Linked DNA regions of Sus scrofa. The protein of the gene in region 2 interacts with the protein of the main gene of each other region in a biochemical or structural test. Links are inferred from orthologs where the notes say so. Each region holds a gene or a part of one and is shown on either strand. Other genes may lie near its edges. The genes, in order: VEGFD and FLT4.

What was found.
Region 1: the proteins of FLT4 (region 2) and VEGFD form a complex in vitro, tested with the Homo sapiens proteins (2 studies listed by BioGRID). The link is inferred for Sus scrofa from reciprocal best matches to the Homo sapiens genes FLT4 and VEGFD.

The regions. Positions count from the first base shown.
Region 1 is NC_010461.5:11,906,158-11,909,969, forward strand, and holds part of VEGFD (vascular endothelial growth factor D), read right to left. Parts: intron 585-3,812; coding exon 394-584; intron 1-393. UniProt on the Homo sapiens protein: Growth factor active in angiogenesis, lymphangiogenesis and endothelial cell growth, stimulating their proliferation and migration and also has effects on the permeability of blood vessels.
Region 2 is NC_010444.4:78,074,573-78,078,819, reverse strand, and holds the start of FLT4 (vascular endothelial growth factor receptor 3), read right to left. Parts: upstream 2,813-4,247; 5' UTR 2,741-2,812; coding exon 2,674-2,740; intron 1-2,673. UniProt on the Homo sapiens protein: Tyrosine-protein kinase that acts as a cell-surface receptor for VEGFC and VEGFD, and plays an essential role in adult lymphangiogenesis and in the development of the vascular network and the cardiovascular system during embryonic development.

The DNA.
Region 1 (3,812 bases), on a different chromosome or scaffold from region 2:
ATCTGCCCGGACTCTGCTCACACCCTTCATGACACTCTTTTCAATCACTCCATTCGAACAACACAGAACCTAATGAGTCCATGAGTTAGAGCGGTTGTCTTTGGTCCTTTTAATGTCTGTTCTAGAAACTTCCACGTGATTTTTTGACCTTATATCATCAGAGAGACGGTAACTGACAAGGGATCAGACTCTGGAGTGACCCGGCTTTGAATCCCAGCTCTGCCACAAGTCCCCTCTCTGCGCCTCCATCTATCAGGGAAGACGATCAGCTACCCTTTTGGCTGGTTTCATGGGTTAAAGGCAATGACGCACATCAAGCATGGAGACAGCGCTGGGCAACAAGCTGAGCCGGAGCTGTCAGTGCGATCAGCGGCAGGGCTGATGTCCTCATACCTGTTTGGAAACATAGGAGGTGCTGGTGTTCACACACACAAGACTCTCTTCATTGCAGCAGCCGCCACACCGGAACACGTTCACGCAGGGAGGCTTGAAGAATGTGTCGGTGCTCCTGCCCACCTCGCTGGCCACCTCCACGCACGTCTCTCGAGGGCTGCACTGCGTCCTCTGCCATTCCTCATCTATAACTGCAGAGAGGAGCTCAGTGGGCCGGCAGAACCAACGGCCCTGACAGGCCCACGTGGGCCAGGGCGACACGGAACACCTTCTCATGTTTATCTCACTAGATGGGGGATTGGGGTCAGCCATTCAACCACATATTGTCTTCAGAACAATCCCGACCCAAATCTGTGTTCTTTTCTATTGATATGATACCTGCATAGACTAGAATTTTACTTTCCATTGGTGATGATCACCATGTCCTGTATAGAACTACATCGGTTGGAGATGATCTATGCACCTCAAGGTTCACTGCAGCTCATTTCACAATAGCCAAGACATGGAAGCCACCTAAATGTCTATCAGCAGGTGAAGAGATAAAGAAGATGTAGTGTATACATACAATGGAATATTACTCAGCCATAAACAGAATGAAATATTGTCATTTGTAGCAACACGGAAGGACCTAGAGATTACCATAATAAGCCAGACAAATATCATATGATATGACTTATCGGTGGAGTCTAATAAAAAAATGATACAAATGAACCTATTTACAAAACAGAAACAGACTCAAAGATTTTGCAATCAAACTTATGGTTTCCAAAGGGGAAACGTGGGAGTGGGGGGAGGGATACATTAGGCGGTGGGTCAGGAGTGACATATACACACTACTTTATATAAAATAGATAAGTAAAAGGACCTACTGTATAGCACAGGGAAATCTACTCAATACTGTGTGGTAACCTGTATGGGAAAATAATGTGAATAGGACTATGAATATGTATCTGTATAACTGAATCTCTTTGCTGTACACCTGAAACTAACACACTTTAAATCAACTACACTCAAAATTTTTAAAAATAACCACATCAGGTACATGCAGAGAGGCTGCCTAATAAGGAAGTAAATGGATGCACGTAAAGCAATAACATGTAAGCACTATTTACTAAGCAATTGACATAGCATTTCTTCTTGAAGCCAGCTGCAGGTAGGTTTCAGCACCATCAAGAAATCCGTTTCTGTTGGTTCCTTAAGTACCTACTGTAGGATTCAAACCTGGCAAATACATAAACGAAAATTTAAGTGGAACTAATCTTTCCTCGAGTCAGAATTTTCTCATTTGCAAATGCCTGATACCGATGTTTCTACAAAATGATGAAAGAAGGGGTTCATTTTGATGAAAGGAGCAATATTCTGGCCATTCTAGCTAACTTGTGAGAAACAAGAAAAAGAAGCCTCTGGGAATAAAAACAAGATTATATGCAATCTTGTTAAAATAGCACTTGCTTTTCTCTCATAGTTTATTGTTTTAATTAGATTTTTTTTGTGTGTGTGTCTCTTCTGGGACCGCTCCCACGGCATATGGAGATTCCCAGGCTAGGGGTCAAATTGGAGCTGTAGCCGCTGGCCTACGCCACAGCCACAGCAACGCAGGATCCGAGCTGCATTTGCGACCTACACCACAGTTCACAGCAACGCCGGATCTTTAACCCACTGAGCAAGGTCAGGGATCGAACCCGAAACCTCCTGGTTTCCAGTCGGCTTCGTTAACTACTGAGCCACGACGGGAACTCCTTAATTAGATCTTGATACTTTGATACTTAACAGTTGCACAGCCTTTCTGTGGATATTTTTGAGAAATGATTCAATTTTATGATAAAGACAACATTTCAAAGACTTAGTTTGCCATGGAATTGGAGACTTGATTATACGTGGGGCAGGGGTGGTGAAATTCCTTGGTGGTTGGCTGCTTCTAAACTGACCCTCTGTGTTGGCTGCCTCCTGGTGTTCACACCCTTGTGTAATCCCCTCCTCTCTGTGTGGGCTCGACCTAGTGACCTGATTCTTAGGAAGAGAATACAGCAAGAGTGATGGGATGTGACTTCCATGACTAGGTTAAGAGAGACTGTGATTTCCATCTTGCTAACAGTCTCCATCTGTTGCTGGCACCCTCTCTTGCCTCCTCGGCTTGCAAGCTTTGATGCTGCGAGCTGCCACGTTGGAAAGGCCCACATGGTAGGGAACTGAGGGTGGCCTCTATCCAACTGCCAGTGAGGAGCTGGGACCCTCAGTCCAACAGCCTGTGAACTGAATCCTGCTGACAACCTGTGAGTAAACTTGGAAGCACATCTGGCCCCAACTGAACCTTGAGATGATGCCTTCAGCCCTAGCTGATACTTTGCAGCCTCTGGAGAGACTCTGAAAGAAGGACATCAATTAAGGTCACACCTGCATTTCTGACCCAGGAGACCGTGAGATAAAAAGCGCTGTCTGGGGGAGTTCCCATTGTGGCGCAGCATTAGTGAACCCAACTAGTATCCGTGGGGAGGAAGGCTCAATCCCTGGCTTTGTTCGGCAGGTCAAAGGATCTGGTGTTGCCATGAGCTGTGGGTTAAGCTATGGATGGATCTGGTGTTGCCATGGCTGTGGTATAGGCTGACAGCTGTAGCTCTGATTCGACCGCTAGCCTGGGAACTTCCATATGCCATGGGGGTGGCCCTAAAAAGAAAAAAAAAAAACCACTATATGGGAGTTCCTGCTGTGGCACAGTGGGTTAAGAATCTGACTGCAGTGGCTTGGGTGGCTGCGGAGGCTGCGGGTTCAATCCCTGGCCCTGCGCAGTGGGTTAAAGGATCTGGCATTGATGTAGCTGTGGCACAAGCCACAGCTGAAGCTCGGGCTCAATCCCTAGCCCGGGAACTTCCATATGCCTCAGGTATGGCCATAAAAACAAACAAACAAACAAACAACACTGCTGTCTGAAGCAGCTAAGTTTTGGGGTAATGTGTTAAACCACAATAGATAACCTCCTCTCCATTTTTCGCCCGTCTTGAAAAATATGTAATTGGTTTCTGCCAAGATTCTGAATTCCTGTGTATATATAAACACATTTCCACTAGAAAAGACAGAACATTTTTCTGAAGTGTACAGATAAAATATCATTGTTGCCAAGGGGGAGGGGGAGGGCGTGGGATGGACCGGGAATCTGGGGTTCATAGATGCACACTATTGCAGGTGGAATGGATGAGCAATGAGATCCCGCTGTATAGCACTGGGAACTCTATCTAGTCAGTTATGATGGAGCAGGATGGAGGATAATGGGAGAAAAAGAATGTATATATGTATGTGTGACTGGGTCCCTTTGCTGTACAGCAGAAAATTTACAAAGCACTGTAAACCAACTACAGTGGAAGAAATAAAAATCATTATAAATGAAAAAAAATACTATTGTTACAGAGCTGATGTTAGTCTAA
Region 2 (4,247 bases):
CCCAGCCTGGTGTCTGGCCATATGGACACTGTGCTCTGGGGAGGCAGAGCACCCTTCAGCCACTCTGACCCAGTGCCTCTGGCATGGCAGGTACATGAGCAGGACCTGCATTCGAGTTCCCAGATCACTGTACTGGGTCAGTGGTCCACAGGCACTCAGTAAGATGGGCCCAGCCCCCACATTCTGCCTGTACTGACTTGCATCCCCACCTAACCCCCACACCTCTGTCCACACCTGGATCTGGCTCAGGGCTGTTCAGCAGGGACATGGAAGAGCTGAGATGGCTGTGTGTGATTCAGCCCCTAGCAGCAGCCTCAGGCCAGGCCAACCAAGCTTCCTAGCAGCTGCCTCCTTCCCCACATGTACCTAAGTTGACTGTCCACTGACCAGAGGTGCAAACGGCCCCTCTCTAGACTAAGCCCCAAGAGACAAAGCCTGTTGAAGATGACATCTGCCACCTGCTTTGTCTACAAGGACACTGTGGGCCAAAAAGTCCAGCCCCAAGCATAGGCCCTCAGCACTTGCCAGCCTATTGTACTGCTGTGCATGGGGAAACTAAGGCACAGAGAAAGGAAGAAAGGGGCCCAGGCCACACAGCAAGGAGTTTAGGAGACAGGACTAGGACAAGTCTGGTTCTGGGACCAACATTAGTTTTTAAGGGTCAGCTGCAGAGTCCCCAGGCTTCTCCCCTGCCAGTGTTTGGCCTCCCACTCTGGCTGCACTGACACCTGGCTGCACTGGAATGTGTGTGCCTCTGCTCCAGCAACCACATCAGGGTGGGAGCTCCTCAGGTCCTCCTCGGCCCAGAAATGGGTGGAGCAAATGCAAAGCTCAGGGAGGGTGGAGATGGACTGTTCTCCATGGGGAATCTCCCCAGCAGCCATGCCCTGGTTCAGCCTGGGCCACCCTCCCTCCATGGGCCCTCTCAGCTAATATTCTCTCTTCCCTTTTACTGCCCAACTTTGGTAAGAACCACGGCACTCACTCTTGGACTGACCTCATCCTCCTTCTACCTCCCGTTCTGCTCCACCCAGGAGCACCAGGATACCAGCCTCTCCTGGTTTCCCTTACACCTCACATGTGGAATGTTTCCCACCCCTCTGGAAGCCTCTCCCTCCTCTGGTTCCCTCCTTGGGGGATGGGAGTCCCATTCTGGAGCCTTTGCTCTGCTCCCTCTCCAGCTCCCCAACCCAGCCTCTCTCCTGAGCCTTGGACACTACACTTAACTCCCTTTTGGATGTTTCCTCCAGGGGTGTCCTCTTGCCCCTCAGCCCCGAAGTCCAACCAGGGACCCATTCACTTCTCTTCCCCTACTCTTTCAGTCATTCAACAAACACATAATGAGCACCTGTGAGAGCCTGGCCCTAGGCAGGGTGCAGGGGAGCGAAGAAGGGCTAAGTGGTAGCCCCTCCACTCAGACCTGCTCTGCTTTGAGCTCAGACAAATTCTACCTCCCTCCTCCTCCCCACACCTCCCTCACCTCCCCTGTGCTCAGCCCTTCAGCCTGTGTAGGCACAAAGAACAGAACTCTGTTACCCCAAAGATCTGAGTTGACCTCTTCTTACTCCCAGCCTCCCGAAGAGCTTGGGGAAATGACACCTGTGCTTGGTCTAAATGTCCCAATTTGTAAAATGAGTCTAACACTCCCTTGTGAGGATTAAAAGAAATGAAGCCAGTATTCAAAGCCCACAGTGTTAAAAAAAAATAGTGAGGTCCCCATCTCTCCCTCAGACCTCCCAAAACTCCTCAACTACTAGGGAACCCATGACCTTTCCTCTACCCTCTGATTTCCAGGGTCACCAGATCTTGCATGGTGACCAGTTCATCTTCCCCTCTTTCCTGATGCTTTAATCCTGACACCTCCATCCAGCCATACCCTTCTGCTCCCTCTCTCATCCTTCACATTCCCTTCCCTCCAGCCCCTTAGTGGTAACCTCGCATCAGAAGCCGGACCTCGCCTCTCCTTGGCCATCCCCACCGTATGATCCAAAATCCTTAGCGCAGCCTTCAAGGCTTCGATCCCCTTAAACAGGGTGAGGGCCGGCCACGCCGATCACTTACCTCGTGATTCGCTTCAAATCCCAACAGGTACCATCTGCACCCAAACCGCCCGACGGCGCCTATCTCCCACGGTCCCCAAGACCCTGCCCCCGCAGTCCCTGGCCTGGGGAAGGTGGACACTAACTGCAAGTTCCCTCTGGGGGACAGCTGGAGCTCCGACAGGAGGCGTCGGGAAGTGCGCACCCAAGTCTGTGACCCCAACGGGACTGCAATCTTCAGTGTGCATGGGTCGGAGGTGCCTAGACTCCGCCGGGAAGCGCGTAAGCAAGAGAAGGATCCAGGCTGAGGATGCAGCACAACGGGGCCCAGCTCCAAGGGAGCTGAGCCATAGACGGTGGAGCGAAGTCTTGGACCCGGAGAGCGATCTCTATGCCCGGCGCCCCGTCCCCGCCCTTTCCTTAAACCGGCGGGCCCCAGCCCGAATCGGATCGTCGAGCTCTGTGCAGGTTCTGGGGCCTGTATCCCTGGCTCCCGACCCTGTCTCCCCTCTTGCCCAAGGGTCCTGGTGGCCCTGTCTCCCGCCTGTCTCCCGTCGGTGCGGTTCCACCGTACGCCCAGGGAAAGCGTCCCCCCTCGAGGCTGGCTGAGCAATGAGGCGGGCGGAAGGCTCACCACGCTTGCTGTCGAGCAGTCCAAGGAAGAGCCACAGGCGCAGGCATAGCGCGGCACCCCGCTGCATCTCCGGCCGCTGTGGCACTGGTCAGATGCGCGAGCGCGGCTCGGGGCTGTGATTGTGGGCTCGCGGCGCGGCGCGGGCGGGGCCGGGGCGGGGCTGCGGCCAGAGCCGGGGCGGGGCCGGGGGGCGGGACTCCAGAGGCGGGGCCAGGGGTCTTGGGCTGCAGTCGTACCTCAGTCCCGCCCCCAACCAATGGAGTGTCCGGCCTAGTTCTGAGGGTGCTGGCAGTGCACCGCGGAGGGAAGGCTGGCTCTTGGCGGCCCCACTTCCGAGTCAATGGCAGTCCTTTAGGCCCGCCCCAGGGCCTCTCCGAGCAGGCAGAGGATGCAGGTAATGTACCAGTTCTTTACTGTGCGTTAAAATGGTTGCACAAAAATGTGGCAGCACGTATTTTTCTGTAATTTTCTTTAGTCAATAAATACTATGTTTAAAGTAAGAAAAAAGAGCAATAAATATAATTTAAAGTAGGAATATGTCAAATCTTTGAGAACATTCCACAAACTTTATACCTTACTGTGTCCGTAGTGTAGATAGAGGCTGTATCCTTGGTCAGGCACCCAGTGAACCAACCTCCATCCTGCAGGCATGGGCTCCTCCTTAGATCTCCAAATAGTTTTGCTCAAAGCTCATTCATAAGTCCTTTTATCAGGTGACACTTTGCTCTCTGACTTGGCAACCTCACAGACGTCCTTTCTCTTTTCAGTTCTGTCTCTAGAATTTTCCTATTTAAAAACAAATCCCATGATGATGGCTATCTCCCTCTTCTGCTTTTCTTGTACTTCACACTTTTATTATCCCCCACCTCCAGGCCCCCACAAAACTCCCTTCATCCTTGCCCAAAACCATTGTTGATAATAACTGTTACCAAATCTCAAGTGCAAGTAAGAATGGAATATATTCAGTAATAATCACAAGTAGGTGGTGATAGTTTAGATGATTTAATAAATAATGTTGGGGAAAGTTAGCAACCAAATAAATGAAATTAAATATTTTCATCAACCTTTTTTTTTTTTTTTTTTGTCTTTTTAGGGCTGCACCCATGGCATATGAAGGTTCCCAGGCTAGGGGTCAAATCAGAGCTGCAGCTGCCAGCCACAGCCACAGCCACAGCCATGCCAGATCCGAGCCACATCTGTGACCTACACCACAGCTCACGGCAATGCCAGATCCTTAACCCAATGAGTGAGGCAAGGGGTCGAACCTGTATCCTCATGGATGCTAGTCAGATTTGTTTCCTCTGAGCCACAACGGGAACTCCTCCTCAACCATTTATTTATTTTCTTTCAATTTTTTGTTCAGTTTTAACATATGGAAAGTATATATCCATATATTATAAATGCAAAATTTAAAGCAAACGCTATGTTTCAACCCTATATACCTTCAGATCAAGGTATATAGACAGACCCTAGCTTTTCAGAAGCCTTCCCTTTCCTATCACTACCCTCTACCTAGCCCTCAAATTCTGGCTCTTCATTTCCCTGCCTTTATCATCTATTGTCCAAAGGTGTTC